Oryzias latipes: one gene and its partners. The protein of the gene in region 1 interacts with the protein of each later gene in a pairwise test. Links are inferred from orthologs where the notes say so. Each region holds a gene or a part of one and is shown on either strand. Other genes may lie near its edges.

Region 1 (4,199 bases):
TCTAAGTAGATGCAGCAGAAAGGAGCAGGGGGGTTGCAGAGTGCAGTTATGAGCTTTTTTTTAAATGAAAAATGAAATTTAAAGCCTTATTTTCTTAATATTTGTCCTCCAGCATGAGGAAAAAATGCTACATGAACATGTTAAAAACACCGTTTTCATCTGAATGGGTCTTTAGAAAGATTTACTTTCGGGACAATCTGGATTTTTTCCGTCCAGCATCCTGCTCTGTTGTGTTAGCCCGCCCGTCTCTCGCACGGTAAAATGCCAGCAAGCAAAAAGAAGAGGGGCTCGTTCCCAAAAAACATGGAAGGGGTTTGGATTTTCAACTTCAGACTTGAAGCAACAATTTGCAGAATGCGTTAGCAGCTCCCTAAAGCACAAACTGGTTTCAGCAGCTGAGCCAGAGTCAAACGGTGCTGCTTTCTGTGAGACGATCAAGCAGCAGCAGCTCAAAAACACAACGTTTCAGAAGCCTTACAGTCTGTATTCAGTTGCAACTTGAATTGAGGTCCACTCCCAAAGGAAATGTCAAAATAAAAGCATTTCTGCTAGCTATATTCTGTCATTTGTCTTTTTTTTTTTTAAAGAAAGTAAAGAGAGGGGAAAGAAAAAAAATCAATGTAAATCTGAAATCATATTTAGTGTGAAAAAAACAGCAGAGATTTAATTTCCAGGCCATTACAGCCACAGTATGAACTATAAAGAATTAGGGTTAATATTTGAGTTTCTTTTAGTCATCTTCAGCGTTTCACTGACCATCAGTTTCAGCATCAATCAATCACCTGAAAGTTAATATTGATCCAAAAAAATCTGATTATTTTATATATGTGAGAAAATCCTTGCATTTCTGCAAAAATGATGGGAATAAAATAAGAAAAACATTTTAAATAAAGTTTCCCCGGCTGTGTGCGTCTGTTGTCCTTACCAGCTTCCTCCACATTGTACTCCTCTCCTTCGAAGTCGTTGTCTGAGTCTTCGTCGTCGGGGTCTGGATGTAACGCCTGGCACTCGCACATGGCTGAGAACATGGACTCCACTGCGTGGAAACAGACGCAAACATTTCTAATCTTCTACTTTTTATGGCAGACGGGCGGGATCAGGGGGGGGGGGCCGATCCGTGACGGCTACGCGATCTTGATCGGTTAGCCGTCACGGATCGGGTGGCCGTTACCGCTCACTCACATGAAGCTTTGTCTCTGGGAACAAATCGAATTTCTGTGATCACTTCCTCTTCGTCACCGTTGCTGCTGTCACTACCATCATCATCTTCTTCTTCTGCTGCTTTCTCTGTCATCTCAGCTTCACCCTCACCTACAAGAAAACGAACGGATGAAATTGTTGAATGAATGAAGAAAAACCAAAGCAGAAAACCCAGATCTGCTTTCAGGAGATTTGATTTGATTTGAAATGGTTTATTTCAAGCAATCAAATAAGCTTAGAGATGACTGAAGGTTTTCTTACCGCCTAGTTTTCCGTTGACCATGACGTAGAGATGCTCCTCGGGGTAGGCGCTGACATCCCTGGAGATGGCGTGCAGACTGATGGAGGGGTATTCCAGGGAGAAGCCCATCCCTGAGCCGTCGAACCACGACAGGCGCCTGAGACGGACAAAGACACAGATCAGAGGAGGCCGATTCCAACATTAAAAACCAGAAAAAGAGAATCAAGTCTGACGTCGAGTTAGCTGAAAGTGTTGCAGCGCCACGTAACCATAAAGATCTTTATTATAGGCTGCATTTTGACTCACTGACTCCTTTCTATTGAATTATTTATCCATTAACCTGAGAAATAAAATATATTCATTTAAAAATGCACTACCAAACAATAATGAATGATCAGAGGAGTTATGTTGAACCTCAAAGTACATCTTATTAAGATTTCCTGAGCAAATAATCAAGTTAAATTTAATTTCACTAAAAAAAGAAATAACAATAATCACAGGAATTAACTACAGGGACAAATCTAATCTATTATTTTTTATTCAAAGTTATTAAAATGAAAAGATTTAGTTAAACATAGTATTTACACTTCATGTATAGAGTCCATCCAGTGTTAACCTTTAAAATACAAAATTAATATGAAAAAACGGAAAGTTACTCTTTAAAGGTCTTGTGATCAGTTGAGACTAAAGTTAAAGACAAACAAATCAATGGGGATAAATCAATAAACCTATTTTAATTCAATACTTTGACAGCAGAAAATGAACCACGGAACTGTCACGTAAACATGACTTCGATTTAACGTTTTATTTTGAAAAGCAGGGCAATACCGGAAGCTCTTCCTGGGGTCTGAACTAGTGCTAACAAGCTGCAGTTTATCATCGAACATATTATGATGGATACATTTCGGGGTGAATGAAATGTGCATAAAGATTTGCCTCCAACGTGTAACGACCAAAACACGCGCGCCACGTGGATCACTTACGTTTCGGCGACGTACAACGTGCCACAGCCGAGCTGCTGCCCGCTCAGCACCGCAGTGGTGTTGGCTTCCTCGTGGCGCACTCCCTCGGTAGGAGGACGGAGGTTTCTCACCAGAACCATCGTCCGTTAGACCGTTAACGTGGGCCCGAACAGAACAGAACTGCTTTGGAACCCAAAAGGAAGAGCCGTGACCCACTTCCGGTAACAGAGCGGCTTAGTTTAACCGCAGTAAGCCTCGTTTCAGGACAAAACTCGAGTCACGACAAGGGAATTCTGGGGGGGGAAATTACAACAGAAAACGTAAAATCCGAAACAGCCAGACAGCGAGCGCTTGTTGATACTGAAATATCGCGGTTTCTTCCTTACGTCAACGAATCACGTGACCAGCGTGCCTCCTCAAGCCATCTGTGGCATATTTTTTACACTGCCCTCTAGTGGCTGTTTAGCTGATTACACCCATTCCGAACTTTTTTATTTTTAATTTTTTTAAACAGTGACGCCCCCCCCCCAAAAAGAAATATTTTCTTATTTAAAAAACACAAGCACAACCTTTTGACTATATAAATATATATACGTATATATACACAGTCAGGACCATAAATATTTGGACAGAGAGATATTATTTCTAATTTTGTTTCTGTACATTACCACGGTGAATTTTAAATAAAACAACTCAGATGTCATTGAAGTGCAGACTTTCAGCTTTTATTCCATGGGTTGAATAAAAAGATTGCATCAAAATGTGAAAAACTATCCTCTGTCACTAATCATTCAAAGAAGTCACGTTTTTTCTGAGAGAAAACCTTTTGTGGCCTTCGGTTCACCTAAAGAGCCAAATCCCAGTTTAAAGCCTGGGATTCCTTAGATTTCTAAGGTACCCTTTTTTTTAGCATTTCAAAAGATGATGATGAGATAAACAGGGTGGGGGGTCTCACACACTTACCAATTTATCAACTCAGATTTAAAAAAAAAAACTCAAATTTTGTAAATTATCTTTAATGTATTCTTTCTAATTGGTTTACTTTACACAGTCTAAACATTTCTAAGACTCTACAAGTCACATCAGCAACTTTTTAGCAAATAAAACTCAACAGACATCATGTGACTCAGTGTGACACGGCTGACAAATGAGATTTGAAAATGTTCCAGGTGTTCATATTTGAGCACAATGAAGGGTCATCGGTGAGTTTGACCCACAGAGACAGAGAGGAATCATGACCGGTTCTCACCTGTCAGAAGCTATCTGAAAGACGGACGATGATGTTCACACATGAAGAGGAATATTTATTGGTCAAAATCAAGAACATTTCATGCCTCTGACAAAAAGAAGAATAAAACAGATCAGCCTCAAAAAGCTAAGAAAAACTCCATAATTCTTGAATTTTTCATGGACACTCGTGCTGCTCTTCACATTTTAGTGCTGCTTCTGACTCCAACGGCATCTTCACGATCGTGTTCTTCTGCAGCCCTCCTCTTCCTCTTTTGTTCCCCCCTCAGTTCCACCTCAGCTGGGATCCGAACAGACACTTCTTTGGAGACGTCCTCCTGAGTGACGGGATTGTCGAAGCAAGCGTCCTCGCCAATGGAGGAAGAGGAGGAGGAGGAAGAGGTGGTGGGCTCTGCAGACCTAGTAACAGTTGGGACGGCATTGAAGGTGATGAAGCCGATCAGGATGACCACCAGGGAGACCAGGTAGAGTCCGGAGAACTGCGGAGGGACAGAAGGTTATAATAGAACGTATGAATGATTGACACAGAGAAGACCATAAAGTAAAAG
Region 2 (4,297 bases), on another chromosome or scaffold:
ATCGACCGGCGCAGTGTGTGGAGGCGGTTCACAGCGGTCTTCTTCAAACTGAACTATAAAGAACCCATGACTTAAAGCCCCCCTCCCCGAACCCGCAGCCCCGGTCACTGCTTCTGCTGCATGGCTTCCTTCCGAGCGGCGTCCTGAAGCAGCTGAGTGTCCACCTCGTCTGCCGGCAGCTGAACGTACCGGACCACCGAGCCGCGGATGAAACAGTTTTTCACAGACAGCTGGAGAGCGTGAAACACGTGAGACACGGAGTCAGGCAGGGCGCCTTCCAGAGGAAGAGAATGAACACATCCAAGGGGATTCAGAAGCTAACACTTCTCTTTTTCCCACCACTCTCACGGGTCAAATAACCACATTTACACTCACCTGCCACTTTATTAGGCACACCTGTCCATCTGCTCGTTATCACAAATTTCCAACCAGCCAATCACATGACAGCAAATCAATGCATTTAGACATGGTCAAGATGATCTGCTGCTGTTCAACCCGAGCATCAGAATGAGGAAAAAAGGTGATTTAAGTGATTTTGAACGCAGCAAAGCTGAAATCATCTATTAATAATGAGTTCTCTGGACTCGATGGTCTCCACAGTCACCAGATCTCAACCCAATAGATCACCTTTGGGATGTGGTGGAACGGGAGATTGGCATCATGGATGTGCAGCCGACAAATCTGCAGCAACCGTGTGATGCTGTCATGTCAATATGGACCAAACTCTCTGAGAAATGTTTCCAGAACTTTGTTGAATCTCTGCCACCAAGGATTAAGGCAGTTCTGAAGGCAAAATGGGGTCCAACCCAGTACTAGCAAGGTGCGCCTAATAAAGTGGGCAGTGAGTGTAGAACTTCTGCATATTTTTAAATGTTTTTCTGAAAAATTGTAGTTTAGAAACTCTGAAAAATGTTTCTAAATCTTTGCTGTTTACCTGAAGAACTGCTGTCTGCTCTGCCCTACACTGAAACTGAACTTCCAAAGGTGTGCTTCTACATTTCTCACCCAGCAGACAACTTTAAAAATGTTTGTTATACTGACAGAAGGAAATAAAAGAATAAAAACAACTGTATGTTTTAGAGGCCTCTATGCAAACTTTAGACTAAAAAGTAAACCATAGATGAGGACTTGCCATGTGTGGATACTTCTCTGGGTCTGTCACACTGATGTCGGTCAACTTGATGTTCAGGTACTAGATGATGACAAGAACAACATTTTTAAATTGCAAACCAATACATTGATTAATTAAAAAAAGTAAAGAATTAATTATTTTCTAACCTGATCAACAGAATGAAGCGTCCCACAGATACTGGGGGGAAAAAGAGAAAATGAAGCTTTCAATGCAACAGTGAACTTTTGATGTTAAATGACTTTCTGGGAATATGCAAATTTGTATTGAACAAGTCAAAGTTTTTGTTCAGTAAATTTATTTCTATTGTCAATGCTGCAGGAAAGTCTGTTTTTTCTTATATCCCACTCTTATCTTTTTAAAGCGCTCCTAGTGGTCTTTAAATGTGCTGTTTTTAGCCAAAAATAAAAAAAAAACCTGCGTCGTTTTCTAGGACAGTTTCTGCAGAGCAGCAGTTGTTCACTAGAAATTTGTCTGAGATCGTTGGTGCAGAGCAAGCCTGCCCCATCTTCCCATCATCCTTTGCTAACTTACAACCCCCCCCCCTTAACCCAACATTAGGTGTGCAACAAAAAAGAAAAAAAAAGTAATATTGGAGCAATCCAGCCGTACAGTTATTTGTGCCAGCTCAGACCAGGAAAACAAAGACGGACAAATCTATTTGCCTGCAAGTGGATGCATCAGAATGGAGCAGAGCAGGGAGCTTATGGCATCAAAACCACTTTTTTCATTTGGATGGGTTTTTAAAAAAAGTACCACATGTCTAAGTATCGTCCATCTGTGAGAGGAGCTAAGAATTATGAGTTACGTCTTTAAAGAATGCCCAACAACTAACTGTAAGCTAATTTTAATATTTACTTTTGAGCTTTCATCATGAGATGCAGCTAGTTTGATTGACCCCCCACCCCCACCCCCGCAATTGACCCTACTTCTTCGGGAAAAAGGTCTAAAATGAATTTGCAGCACGTTTGCAGACCAAGAGTTAGCTCAGAAAACTAACAGGAAAAAAAGTACATTTTTCACGCTGCTGGCACCAACCTATTGAGCCAGATTTGCAACAAATGCTGGAAGGAAGGGATGGCAACCCCACGCCACTGTGACCAGCATGAGATGCAAAACACCAGCTAGAAGGAAAGACAGCAACTCTGACAGAGTCAATGTCTCTGTCAATGCTAAGTAGCTCTTCACTGCACCCATTCAAACAGCGCTAGCAGAACCACGCGCCATTTTTAACCACAAACGGCGCTTTGAAAAGAAACATTACCAAACAAATTGGTATGTTGAGTTATCAAAACCAACCTGAGGTCGTTTTTCAGCTCCACCACCACGTCCTTCCCAACCAAAGACTTGAAAAACGAGTAGAAAAGCTGTAGATTTTTTTTAAAAAAAAGACGATGTTAGCACGATGATGGGCCGACAAAGCGGCTCAGCACACTGCGAGCAAACTCAGCGACAAAACAAAAGAAATTCAGAAGAATTCTGACACTCAGAAACCTAAAATGTTTGACTTAAACTAAAAAAGTACATTTTAAAATGACGATTTACGCCTTACCATTTTGGCTGTGGTGTTCTACAGAAGGTTTGGCTGCTGTTGATGACGTATCAGCCTGCGCCGTGTTTCAGCGGTGAGTGAGTACCACTTTGCGCCACTAGAGGGAGACACACTGTCGTTCAATGTTTATTAAGGAACTATCAGGTGTTTTTCATTGACCGAGATTTAAATTTAGGCTTTCACTCATATTTCTTTAAAAAAAAAAGACATAAAAAACATTATGAGCCATCTCTTAAAAAATTGAATAAAATATCAAAAGTCTAATTCAGATTTAGTCTAGCTTCTAGTCTAGCTACCAGACATGTTTGTGATACTTTTTGTACCTCAAAACTTTATTTTTTTGTAGTATGCAGACCTTTACTGTGATTTAAAAACACACACAAACACAAACCTGAAATGTCTATAATTTGCTGCAAGAGTTTTTAATCAGGATTAAGTTTGTTCCTCAATGTTCTTTTATAAATTACGACGGAGTTTTAGGGCCACCAAAAAAAAACAAAAAAAAAACGTAGGGTCGTAATAAAAACATAGAACCTAAACTATATTAATAACGATATTAATCTTTGTAAAGAAATTGTGTTTTTCTATACTGGTCAAAGGAAAGCATGCTTTTCATGCTTTAATGCTGAAAGTTTTCTGTATGAAAACTGGATATATTTATTGTTTACGTCTTCTAATTTAAAGAACCTTTGGTCTCCAGTGCCATTTGGAGTTTTATTCTGTTTCTTCTCCAATGTCTTTCTGATTTTATCTACAGTTTGATGCAATAAAAATCAGAAAATGAACACAATTGTGACCGTTTTGTTTCAAGAGTTCTTTCTGTATTCTGATGAAAGACCACACGGGGGCAGTGTCGAGCACTCAGATGTTTTAACAAATCTTTTCAGCTTCTTTACTCATCATGGTTTACGAACTTGATCTGAAACAGAAAACTCTATAGCAACGAATCACAACTGAATGTACACAGTTTTATCTTTAAAATAATTATTAATTCAAAAGTTCTTTTGTTTTGTTTTTGAGAAAGTTAAGACGTTGCTCCTGGGTCTTCTGTTGTTGACACGGGTAAATTCCACTAAATGTGCTTAAACTGTGGAGTGGACGGTGTCTCAGTGGACTCTAGTTCAGGATAAAAAACAAACAGGTGAGATAACTCTGGACCATTTACTCCTTTTATGAATTTTCCTATGTTTTGGAAATTCTTTTATTACAAGATACATACTTGATAGAGTGAGTCTTTCTGCAACTGTTAACTTAATTCATTTTCATCAAATATAGGGCTGCACAGTGACGTAGTGGTCCACTAACTTTACTCAACAGTTGCTCAGTTAAAGGATTCAGTGGGTTCTGAGGATGGATAGGTAGATAAGTGGATCATTAAAAGCAAAAACAGAGTTTCTCTATAGACTATCATGTAAAACTAACCCTATTCTAAAAAGACTTTACAGAATGAATAAATGTTGTCACTTGACCCTTGAAGTCACAACGAAACTGTTAATATCATCCGAGCACACACAGGAAACACATCGGAATCACAAAAAAATATAGTTATTATTATTCTTACTTTCTCTTCTGTAAACCACCTCAAATTTGGCGGCTGAACATGCAGGAAAAATGAC
Region 3 (3,631 bases), on another chromosome or scaffold:
TCATCAAAGTGCGATGCCTTCTGCTTTCTGTTTGTTAATAAAGTTGTTACAATTTGAATCAACGCCTGGCAGATTCAAAAGCTATTTTCCCATCAAAACTTAAACTTCCTGGAGAGGGAAAGCACTGATTAACATCATCATTTATGTCTTTAATACACTGAATGTGTTTTGTCAAATTGTGCTGTTTTCTTCCAAATAATCAGCAAATATATAATTATTAATTCTTACATTTTATTTTTTGTCAGGACAGCTTTCCATGAGCACATCACCATGGTAACTTGCTAACAACATCCTACTGAGGATGAATGAAGCTGTTTTTCTTTTTTCTTTAAAATTGCTTGTAAAAGTAAAAATCATAGTTTATCAAATTTATCATAGTTTCAAAATGTTCCCATAACCTCTTAAAGTTAAGGTAGCTCAGGTCATGTTAGTGAGGAAATATGAAGTAATGGATGCTAACATCCTCTTGAATGGCTGGCTGTTCTCTTTGGTAGATTTTGGGTTGAATCTCAGCCATTTGTTTTTTTAGTGAGTGCGAATTTATGAGATTTCCATTTTTCTGAGGGTCTAGCATGAATTCCTATAAACCTTTGCTTCATAAAAAACGTTTTTGATGTCTTTATTGATAGCAGGAAACGTGGATTGTATCTCCTTTCTATGCAAACAAAAGCAGCCGCCTCAAAGTTTTGTTTCTCTAAAGTTATTTTCAGCGGCTCTTTTCAGTGTCACTGTGATGATTTAAAGTTTGAAAAATGTTTTGGGAATTTTTCACAATCTTCCTTTGTAAAGGAAAAAGTAAAACAAACTGTCGCATTTTTTAAATGTATGTTTGATTTTATTTTTGCTTTTGATCATTACAGCTCAGATGTTCAACCAAAAAAAAATAAAACTAATCAGCTGTGCTTTTGCACAAATAAAAATCTATTAATACAATGAGTTTTTTAAGGTTTTCTATATATATATATATATATATATATATATATATATATATATATATATATATATATATATATATATATATATATATATATATAAAATATATCACACACTTCATGTGCATGTATTTTTATAGTTGTTTTGGTCATTTTCTAACTGCAAATAGTATTATTTGCCTTTGGCTGATCCCTTTTTAAACCAGATTACTCCTCCCAGCCGCACGAGGGCGCAGCACAGCAAAGGTCACAGGGTTTTACTTCCGGTCTCCCGGTCCACACGCGTTTCCTACGCGGTTTTGTGAATTGAAACACGACTTTGTTTCGTTAAAATACAGACACCATGAGCAAAGCGCATCCACCAGAGCTAAAGAAGTAAGTTTGCAAGTTTTTGAAAGATGATAGGCCTGATAGCTTCGGTCTTTTTCGCGAGATTGTAGTATGTTTCCATGTTAGCCACCGTTAGCCGGAACAGCTAGGAATTGAAGCTAAATCTAAATAATGTTTTTGTCTTTCAGATTCATGGACAAAAAGCTTTCCCGTGAGTTAAAACTCTCGTTTCATTATTTAATACATATTTCAAAATTACACTATATTTCTATTCATTCGCCGGCTTTTTCTTGTGAAATTAAATTCGCTTTTAGCTAAGCTAGCAGCCTTCATGTTCATCAGTTTGCTCTTTTTGTTTTCTTCAGTGAAGCTGAATGGAGGCAGACACGTCCAGGGCATCCTGCGAGGGTTCGACCCCTTCATGAACCTGGTGATGGACGACTGTCTGGAGATGGGCCCCGGGGGACAGCAGAACACCATCGGGATGGTGGTCAGTGTCCGAGCAGAACTGTGAAGCATGAGGGAATAGTTTAATTCAATGTTTTACCCCACCCGTAATAGCAGGACGAATAGGTTCAATTAAAGATCATACTCTTTATTTATTTTTATCTTTATTAGCAATTCCATCTTTTGACAATTTGAACCAATTTGAGTGCTGTCTACATAGATTTATAAAAACATGCACAACTGTTTTCCTAACAAACCAGACAATCCTATAAAGAAATATGAACCAATAAAATATGTTAGGGGTCTGCTAGTTAGTAACAAAAATGTAAATGTTCTAAAAATCATCTTTTTGATAAAGAAAATTTTCTACCTCACAAATACACTTTTTTTGTTTTAATTACTTTTTTTTTAACTCCTTTTAATTCACTACATTTTGAATAAAGAAATACGCAGAAAAGCAATTTTAAGCATATTTTTTTTAAATATATGTCCTCATCAGAAAAATGCCACAAGAACATGTCAAAGTAAATAAATTAAAGCAATCCCAGTTGGTCATTTAGTGGTTTTGATCATTTCCGGCAACTAATTTTTAATTTTTTCTACAAAAACAAATTTTGTTTCGAAGTTTATTCAAAATTCTTTAGTCAAAGAACCTATTCTATCCACTTTCTCTTGTAAATATAACATTATATTGATAAGACAGACTTCCTCGTTTGTTTTCCAGGCATCTGTATTCTAGTTGCTACTGGTTTTCTAGATCGGGAAGCTGCAGATTCTGCTTGATGAAATCCACCTGATCCACGTGACTAGCTGCAAATAAAGCAGGGTTACTGGAAAACATTTCCACATTTTTATGTGTAGCCAAAAGTTCATTACTACTTAAAATAAATACATCCAGACCAACAGGGGAGCCTCAATGCCTACTGAAAATCTCTCTTAAATATATTATACTGCCCCCCCCCCCCCCCCCCCCCCCCCCCAATACTCCAGCTTTTCCAAAGATGTCTAATTAGTTTATCTGAAACAAAACTGACCTGTCTTTACGGAAGAACAAATAACAATTGCCTGTTCCAGTGAATATCTGTGAAACCAAACGTTGGCAGGTTCGTGGTTTTTCCTGATGTGACAGCCTCAGGAAAGGGTTTAGTAGTTTTTCCCAAACTAGAACATTTCTCTTATTCAACACACAATTGTGTAAAAATAAATGTGTAAACGTGAAAAGATCTGATCTGTTTTCCTTTTGTCTTCCCGAAGGTCATCCGAGGAAACAGCATCATCATGTTGGAGGCTTTGGAGCGAGTATGAGCAGAGCACAGCGGCGCCTCCTGTTTTCTCATTCCATTGTAGTTCATTCACAATGAAAGTCTGTTGGTTTTGAGATGTTTGTTTGTTAATAAACTATTTTTCTTTTTATCCGTGCATTTGTTTGGTTTTACGAAATGTTACTGTATGTGTTCTTTCCTGTAGATGCAGCAAGAATTTAGTGTTTTTGTAATGGAGGATGAGCTGCTAAACAAAAAAAGAATATCTTAAATGTTAGGGTTAGTCTTATCTTAAGGAATTCGAAAGCTTTTTTTATAGCTTAGCTGTTAAAAAGCTATAATGGCTAAACAATGTTGGGAATGCTGGTGATGAAGACATAAATGCTGAACTATTTTAATAATTTGATAGACCTAAAGTCAGCTGAATATTTAAGATATGCGTAATTTCCATTCATGAGCTGGCAAACTTGTTATAAACTAGCAGGCAAGTATTTGTTCATAAAATATTAAAAAGTTGGATTCAGTTTGTTTATTCTTGAGCTCTATCAAGTTTAAAAGTTTCCACGTTGAAAGGAAAAAAATTTAAGGTATTTTAAAATTAAAAACATTAGCTGCTTGACACTAAAACAAAGGGTTACCAATTTTTCTAAAGTTTAAAAC
Region 4 (3,990 bases), on another chromosome or scaffold:
AATACTACTTTTTTTCCCATCTCAACACAATTTGACAACACAGAAATCAACTTGTGATTCACAGTTTTTAATTCAGCAATCAAAATAAAATGTTGAAACATCCAACCTACATTTAAGACACCAAAAACGACTGTTTTGTGACATTTATATATGTTTAATATAAAAGCATTACTAATCTCATGGGTTTCAGCAAAACAAGTGAAGGCAGATTACATGTATTGGCGTTTGGGTAACCTGTGTGAATGTGTTTGAACTGTTAAATTAAGAGTATAGCATTAAAAATAAAAATAAAAGACAAAAAAAAAACATTTTGGTGACTAAAAATTCTAAACCTTGTGATTAGAATGAAAGTCAGTTTGCTTACTAATCTTTTTTTTTTTTTTTTTTTTTTCTAACTTGTTCTGTCCAACTTCTGAGCAAACAGATTAGAGCTGAAGGCTTTTTGTGTTGGACAGGTTTTACTATCACAAAAAGAGGTTATATAGCTTCAAGAAACTAGAGTGTAGATTTGTATAAACCCCTTTTTGTCGTATTATTTTTTATTTATTTGTTACATTTAGTGTGTGTGGGGAGGGAGAGGGGAAGAATGTGAGGGGAGGGTGGAAGAGAGTAAAAGGAAGAAAGGTGAAAAGGTGGGGGATACAAGCACTGATTTGACTAAGTTATTAATTTAAGCTGTAACAATTATACCAGATCTGCTGGAAAGACGAATGTTACATCAAAGGTCAAAATCTGACACTAAGATGAGCGGAAAAAAAACTGTCCATCAATACACTGTAGGTAAGGAGGAGGGATGAAGCAGACAGGGAGCAGTGTGGCAGTGTGCACGTGCACGTGGGGGTGGAGATACATGCATGCTGCCGACGTGAACCGTGTGTTCATAAAGGGAGCCAGATCCTACCCAGCCAGACCAGCCAGACCAGGAGAGGGGAGGAGAGCCCCCCAGGCCAGAAGCCCCCCCAGCATCCGGACCCAGGCAGCCCGGGAGGGGAGGAGGAGGGGACCGCCCACCCCACCAGCCAGGCACAGAGAGGGCCCCCCTACAGGGGCCCCCCCAATGCCCAGAGGCACAAGCGAACCCAGTGTCCGGCCCCCAGGCCACAAGACAGGAGCGCTTAGCCGTACCAGGCGGCAGCCATGGGGGCCACCGGGCGCCGGACACCGAGACAAAGGCCAGGGACGAAGCCAGGGCCCCGGAACCCATGAGCCGGCCACCACCCGACCAGCGCCCCGTCCCCGCAAGCCAGCCCAGGCACGCGACCCTAGCAACCCAGGGATCGCCACGCACCCGCAGCCACAGCCACCCCCCTAAAACCCGACGCACTACAACCCCCCCCCCGCCATAATATCTGACCCCCCCTCCCCAACCCTCTCAGTGCCCTCCCCTCTCTGTGATTGGGAGGGAAAGCCCCAGAGGGTCCCAGCGAGCCAGCCCCCAGGTCGGTCCTACCCATGCACTCACACACACATACTCACAATCATCTGGTTACCCTCCCTACCCCCGCCGCCAAGCAGTAACCCCCCCCCCCCCCCCCCCCCCCCAGCCGGCCAACCCCCAGCGCCGCATGCCCGACCCCTCCCGCAGCCGACAGGACACCCATAAGCCTGGCCGCCCTGAGAGGACCAGGCGGGTGAAGACCGGCCGCCCCCCCCCCCCGACCCCACCCATGTATGGAGGTGTGGGAGTGCTGTGTGTGTGCTGCAGGTAAAATAGGAGGTCACCAGTGTGGGGGGCTCCACCGCTGCCAAGCCGCAAAGCCCCCCACTCCGGAGTCCCTCTGTGAGTGGTGTGTATTTGCTGTGTGTGTGCTGCTAGCATGCAGTGTGTGTGTCTACAGAGGAAGTTAAAATTGTGGGGGGGCCAGCGAAAGGTGAGCACGGATGTTTCACCGTGCCCCCCTCCACCAGACCCTCTCCACAAGGCCCTAGATGAATCAGAGTGTCTAATATGCAAGTAAAAAGCGGGGAGGAGGGCGGGTGCCAACGAGAACCCAGAGAGGGGCATCCCCAGTGAGCCCCGCCAGCATACCCCTCCCATCCAGATCCCGGGGCCCTATGTGCCTGTGTGCAATATTTGTTTGGGTGAGAGCGGGGAGGAGCGGGCGGATGGGCACAACCGGGGGAGAAGGCTCCCCCGAGCGACCGGCCCCCCAGCCGGCCGCGGTAGGCGCCCCCCCCCCTCCCAGAGCGGCCGGCAGCCAGAAACGCCAAGCGTTTCAGAGAGTAGAAACCTCAAATGTAAAGTTTCAGTCCTCGAGGGCAGGTGTCCTAGTCTGCCTGCTGTTGATTAGCAAAACACACCTGAGGTAACCAGAATCAGAAGAAGGCCGTTTAATGAACACAGCAGAATGCATGCCCTCGACGGCTGGAGCTACAGCTGTTGTTTTCCCCACACATTTTACACAAACTTTCCTTCCTGTATAAACTATTTAGCTGCCTGGTTAGCACTAAAGCAATGAACTGTGTTTCAAACCAAACATTTGCGTTCAATTGAAACACAGGAACACCAAGGCTAATAATTCGGCTAACTCGGTTAGCCGCTTCCACGGCCCCAAACAGGTCAAAAACGTTCCTGTAATAACCTTAAAGCACTTTAAAAATAATGCAGCGTGCAGCGCAGTCTGCACTTTTAGAAGCAAAGTGGGCTTCTGTTCGTTCGTTGTAAGGTTAAACATATAATTAGCGAAAGAACCGCTAACCTGCTCAGCTTCGTCCGCCATACTGTTCGAGCATGCGCGCGTCGATTCCGGTACGCAGGTTGCCAGGTCCGGTGAAATTAAGATTTCAAACGGCAACACACACGTGCGTTTCGAATTATCCCTCGATTTCCAGTTCAACAAAGTTGAATTTTATACAAATAATTAGTTTACAATATATATCTATGCGTACTTTGAGAATGTGAAATGTTTATTATTAAAACTTATGGTATCAACATCCATCCTTAAAAGACTAAATTTAAAGTATGTGTAAATCCATACATAGTCCTTACCTAAAATTTAAATACAACACAAACATCTCCTTGTTGCATCCCTGCCACTTTTAAATTGAAACAACTGAAAAGACTAAACTATAAAGAAAAGAAATTCACCTTTCTCTCGACGCGTTGCGTGTATGTTCAAACCTGGCAACGTTATCCAGTACCGTCCTTTAGCGTTTTCCAGAGCTTTCTGTCCTCACAGGACACTGTCGTGTCATCCGCGCAGAGCAGCGAGAAGGTAAATTAATTCATAAATATCTGTTCATTTTGAGGTATTTGTCCTGTCTACACTAATATTCCAGAGCGTTTTGAGTGGTAGTAAAGCTGTTATTGGGAATTCAGTGTCTAACGGGTCTGTTTAGAAATATTCCGTATGCGAAATGTTAATGTAAACGAGAAATGAAATGTAAATAGTTACACATAATGAAGCTTTCCGTTAGTGAGAAAACCGTTAAAATTCTTTTAAGAGAGAATATATTCCTAAAATGTAATCTGCAGTTTATTCAAATATTTATTTTTAATGATTACACTAAATAATTAATCGATTTATTAATTGAAACTAACAGACCAAAAAAGGCTATTTTATGTTCATTGATTACTCTTTTCAAAGTCTTGCATTTAAAGATAAGAAATCGTTTTAATAACAGTCTAAAATTATAATAGGTGGACTTAAAAAGCAGAAAAACGAAATAAATTGCTTTTCAATTATTATTTTTTTTATTAAAAATAACAATTTCTTGTATACAGGATACCAACCAAGTGTTGGAAAATAAAAAGCAAAATGCTATTTAAGTAAAGATAAAATGATGCAGCGGTTGTGATTTATTGCGTCATTATTTTATTTTGGGGAAAAAACTATATTTATTGAACATCACTAGTTTAGACTGGTTAATGTAACTAAATGGGTTGCAGACGTTCTGTTTGTGATGTCATACACAGCCTCTGGTCCTGTGAGGCTGCTATTCTCCGCGTTGTGTTTGTAGGGTTACAGGTGTGCGCCTCCTCTCTTCTCA
Region 5 (4,080 bases), about 21 Mb from region 1:
GTGTTTGGAATTGGTTTCCTTATTTCATAAGTCACAAGATCTCCTTTGGATGTTGGCCAAAAAGGAATTGTGGATTTTACCATCTGAAAGAAGTGCTACAACATTTTTGTCAACGGCTCAGACTCTTTAAGACATCTCTTCAAAACAAAACTTATATTAGACTAACATTAGATAAATACACCTGCTGTAGATCTCATAGAACTCAGTTGTGAGAGTTTCTAAATGACACTATAATGCATCTTATAACTTTTTATAATTGTATTATAAATGGTAAATGGCGTATAATTGTACTGCGCTTTCTACCTTCCTTGAAGGCCAAAATCAGTCACCTATTCATACACAGATTCACATACTGGTTTCCTGGTTGCTGAACACTGGCACCAACCTTCCACCAGAAGCAAGGTGGTGTTCAGTTCAGCGTCTTTCCCAAGGACACTTCAACGGTAGGGCGGGTATCGAACCTGCAATCTAACGATCAGAGGGTGACCACCCTACCACGGCTGCCCATGTATGCAAGACATGACAGCAATAAACCTGGAGCCTAAAACTTTTACTATTAAAGTTTTTTTGTATTGTTTGATTTGCAAAATGCAGTTACAAAAGGCCATGTTTATAGTTTCTTGATATTGAATTATATTTTTCAAATAAATGAGTTTAAAAATACTGCTAAAAATACAAATGAACAATGCTGCATCATTTGTTTAGCACCTACAATAATAGATAAGGCAATCTGTGATTTGGAACGTGGCACATATGAAAAAAAGGAAAGGTTATTATTATTATTATTGTTTTTGTTGTTATTAATATTATTACTATTATTGTTGTTGTTGTTATTTCCAATATTTTAATTGTTGTTGTTGTTAATAATGTTGTTGTTGTTTACCAGGCAAAGGTCACAGACTAAGCAACGTCTCTTTTATTTTATATTATTTCTTGATACTGTCAACCTGGACTTTGATATCCTGCAAATGCAAAATAACTGGATAAAAGCAATGCTGAATTTAAATGTATCAAATTGTATTTAATTAATCTTTTTCGTGTATTTATTTAAACATGTTCTATAATGTCGTTTGTTAAATTGCTGCATGAATGCTGGGGCATTCATAACAGTTTTAACTTCGGCTTCAGTAACGAAATTACTAGAGATGGATGCAAGATTAGAATAGAATATTTTAGCTGATGACCGTTGTTTGATTTTTTTTCTATTGTTGCCAAAAAGAATAGAATATTTTTCGAATTTTTGGTTTGCGTCGTAACCCGGAAGTTATTCTATTTAAGCGCGTTAATATCACCGGAAGTGATTCTGTGCACGCGACTGTCGGCTAAAACGTTGTAGACACGACCGACGCACGAAAGAGGCTTTGGAACTTTACTAAACGGTTTTTATAAACCAGGAATCATGTTAGTATCTTCTATTGTGTCTCGATGTTGAGGGCAATGTTACTTTTTACGTTTAGCTGCTAATATGGAGATCGCACTATTAAGCTAGCAGCATTTTCCTTCGAGTTGGTGCTAGATCGCTTTGTGTGGCCTAGTGGGTGGTTTTTAGAAATGTGTTAAATTGGATTACATTGCAATTACTGCATTCTCAAATTAAATTGTTTAAAAAGTTACGTCCAAAGCTAAATTCTGTGATTGTACATCGCGCGAAAGCTTGATGGACGTACTAAGCCTCATTAGCTAATTGCTAATGAGACTGTTAGCTTGCTCTATCCATCATGAGTAAATGTCCTCGTTGTGCGATTGCAGCATTCATTCTTTAGAAAGTAGAAATGTTTAAGCTTCTGCAAGATGATATGATCAAAGTCGTCGGTTATAGACTCATTTTGTGTGAAAGCCAAAGTTTTGTTCTAAATATTTTGTGCGTAAAGAGCCTAAACTCTTTGCTGATCTCAAAGCACACACTGTTCAGAGATTGTTGAAAACTTCAAATGTATCTGGAAACAATAAATGTTCTGTGCTCATTTAAGGGTGGCGGGAGGCTTTAATGTTTTAAAACTTGATCCTTTTATAAAGTCTAGTATTTGTTGACCTTTATTTAGGTAAATTGTTTCTCTATCATCCAGAGCAGCCATTTTTTTTAAAGTAGGTTTTACTTCTGCCTATTTGTAGTGATCATTGTACAAATATAAAGAAATATCGAGACTAAAATGTACTGATTCAATTTATCAATGACCAAAGCATTTATTGTGTGTGTGAGATAATTCCTCAATAGTTTTGATTCCGTCTGATGTAATGTCTCCTGTACAATGGTTTTCTGGTTAATACTAGTTTTGCATGTTTAGTTTTATTTAGATATTTGGTTGTGGTCCATTTTCCTGCTTAAGCACCTTCTGCCTCTCAAATGTCTCTATTAACTGAGCACTTTCAGTCAACAGCTTCAGCTCTCATAAATGCTCTTTTGCAGGAACTGAGACTTTTTTTAGCTGGTTCCACTTTTCAGATGTCTTGCCTATATTGTACATTTTTGTGCTAACTTGACTTTATAAGAAAATGATCATTTTGTTGAGGCACACAGATGAAGCCAACTCTTGGATTCGCATTAACAGTAACTAATGCTTGTGTGTGCATTAAATACGAAAGTGTTGCGTTTGTGTCTTTATATTTATTTTTTAATTTAAAAGAATAATAATAAAAAGGCCCAAATCCAAATAATAGGCCGCCCAAGCAGTCGATGCTTAAACAGTACATCGTTGCTTATTTTGTTTGCTGTTATCACTAATTCAGAACTTGTTTAATCCACAGGAGTCTTCTAACGAAACCTAAGTCAGAGATGACGCCTGAAGAGCTCCAGAAAAGAGAAGAGGAGGAGTTCAACACTGGCCCTCTGTCGGTGCTCACCCAGTCAGTCAAGAACAACACCCAAGTCCTCATTAACTGTCGCAACAACAAGAAGCTGCTTGGAAGAGTCAAAGCATTCGACAGGTATTGGGGGGCTGCTGGTGTAGCGGAGAGAGGTTTAAGTGTGTATTTAGGACTTTTATATGAAGAGGAAACAAACACGAAGAGCTTGCATCTTGATTTAGAAAGTGTTGCTTCACTAAAGCATATTTTTGCAGTCTTTTTTTCTTCTTCTTTCCAGGATTTGAAATAACATGGCGCCTTACAGTGGTTTTATTCTAAAATGTTTCAATTATTCCCTCCTCTCTTTGACATATTCCTTTAATAGAATCAAGAATAAAATACATTCAGAAGAATTCAAATACAAGTAAAACACTAAATATAAGCTCACAAATGTAAGAGATTAAAAAGGCGTCCATAGCATCTCCTCCACATTGGGTACTGTGCCTGATGTGGGTGTGGGGTTTGAATGATTTCATTCTCTGAAGCATTGTTTTGTTTTTTTATCAAGTATGAGTTGAATAAAAAGCCACTTCTTAAATACTAAACCTGTTTTAAGGGTTAGATGTCAACAGCAAGATTTCTATATGTAGTCACTTGTGTAATAAAATCAAATTTTCTTACAAAGCTTAAGCAATGAAGAAGGGAGATTGCAAGATGTTTTATTTCAATAGTTCTTGCATTGTAATTTTCTGATCTTTTTGGTTTTTAAAAGAATAGATTACGTATGTGAGCAAATCCACCTGAGCACCCCAAGATTTCAAATGCCAGTGAGTTATTAGTATGAAGGTAAAAATGTGTCTAAATAGACGAGCTTGTAGATTTGGTGTGAGAACTTGTAATTTACAATGTGAGAACTTGCACACCAAAAATCTGCATCTGTGTGTAAAAATCTTCTGCTGTAAAGTCTGACAAACTAAATCAGAACTGACAAATTCCCATTTAGAGTTACAACCTCCAATCTGGGATTACAACTGCTCAAATGTGAATCTGCTGGCGCACATCACAAGTGCACAACAACTGCGCTCTGACTTCTGACACATTCCTTGTGAGAAACTTGTGTCAAAATTGATCTGTGTACGAAAACGGAACGGGGGGGACAATAGGGTCATGATTAGTCAGTACAGAAAGTTTGCTGACATTAGCTTTAGTATCTTTAGAACTATTGAGCACCTTTATTATGAATCATGTCTCTTAAAATGTGAAAAACTATATAAAATATATTAAACATGGAATTTC

The links.
Region 2: the proteins of clns1a (region 1) and lsm2 interact in binary tests that used the Homo sapiens proteins (3 or more experiments, as listed by UniProt). The link is inferred for Oryzias latipes from reciprocal best matches to the Homo sapiens genes CLNS1A and LSM2.
Region 3: the proteins of clns1a (region 1) and snrpg interact in binary tests that used the Homo sapiens proteins (3 or more experiments, as listed by UniProt). The two-hybrid records come from large-scale screens. The link is inferred for Oryzias latipes from reciprocal best matches to the Homo sapiens genes CLNS1A and SNRPG.
Region 4: the proteins of clns1a (region 1) and lsm3 interact in binary tests that used the Homo sapiens proteins (3 or more experiments, as listed by UniProt). The link is inferred for Oryzias latipes from reciprocal best matches to the Homo sapiens genes CLNS1A and LSM3.
Region 5: the proteins of clns1a (region 1) and snrpd2 interact in binary tests that used the Homo sapiens proteins (3 or more experiments, as listed by UniProt). The link is inferred for Oryzias latipes from reciprocal best matches to the Homo sapiens genes CLNS1A and SNRPD2.

The regions. Positions count from the first base shown.
Region 1 is NC_019871.2:4,487,772-4,491,970, reverse strand, and holds the start of clns1a (methylosome subunit pICln), read right to left. Parts: upstream 2,812-4,199; 5' UTR 2,544-2,811; coding exon 2,425-2,543; intron 1,599-2,424; coding exon 1,462-1,598; intron 1,312-1,461; coding exon 1,183-1,311; intron 1,037-1,182; coding exon 926-1,036; intron 1-925. Other genes in the region: solute carrier family 35 member F2, read right to left, coding at 3,831-4,130. UniProt on the Homo sapiens protein: Involved in both the assembly of spliceosomal snRNPs and the methylation of Sm proteins.
Region 2 is NC_019862.2:27,136,499-27,140,795, reverse strand, and holds the start of lsm2 (U6 snRNA-associated Sm-like protein LSm2), read right to left. Parts: upstream 2,803-4,297; 5' UTR 2,685-2,802; coding exon 2,682-2,684; intron 2,497-2,681; coding exon 2,429-2,496; intron 1,310-2,428; coding exon 1,279-1,309; intron 1,193-1,278; coding exon 1,133-1,192; intron 231-1,132; coding exon 105-230; 3' UTR 1-104. UniProt on the Homo sapiens protein: Plays a role in pre-mRNA splicing as component of the U4/U6-U5 tri-snRNP complex that is involved in spliceosome assembly, and as component of the precatalytic spliceosome (spliceosome B complex).
Region 3 is NC_019865.2:4,866,759-4,870,389, reverse strand, and holds snrpg (small nuclear ribonucleoprotein G), read left to right. Parts: upstream 1-1,161; 5' UTR 1,162-1,275; coding exon 1,276-1,307; intron 1,308-1,450; coding exon 1,451-1,473; intron 1,474-1,627; coding exon 1,628-1,752; intron 1,753-2,963; coding exon 2,964-3,014; 3' UTR 3,015-3,122; downstream 3,123-3,631. UniProt on the Homo sapiens protein: Plays a role in pre-mRNA splicing as a core component of the spliceosomal U1, U2, U4 and U5 small nuclear ribonucleoproteins (snRNPs), the building blocks of the spliceosome.
Region 4 is NC_019863.2:18,333,733-18,337,722, reverse strand, and holds the start of lsm3 (U6 snRNA-associated Sm-like protein LSm3), read right to left. Parts: upstream 2,804-3,990; 5' UTR 2,721-2,803; coding exon 2,700-2,720; intron 1-2,699. UniProt on the Homo sapiens protein: Plays a role in pre-mRNA splicing as component of the U4/U6-U5 tri-snRNP complex that is involved in spliceosome assembly, and as component of the precatalytic spliceosome (spliceosome B complex).
Region 5 is NC_019871.2:25,537,841-25,541,920, reverse strand, and holds the start of snrpd2 (small nuclear ribonucleoprotein Sm D2), read left to right. Parts: upstream 1-1,270; 5' UTR 1,271-1,399; coding exon 1,400-1,401; intron 1,402-2,745; coding exon 2,746-2,925; intron 2,926-4,080. UniProt on the Homo sapiens protein: Plays a role in pre-mRNA splicing as a core component of the spliceosomal U1, U2, U4 and U5 small nuclear ribonucleoproteins (snRNPs), the building blocks of the spliceosome.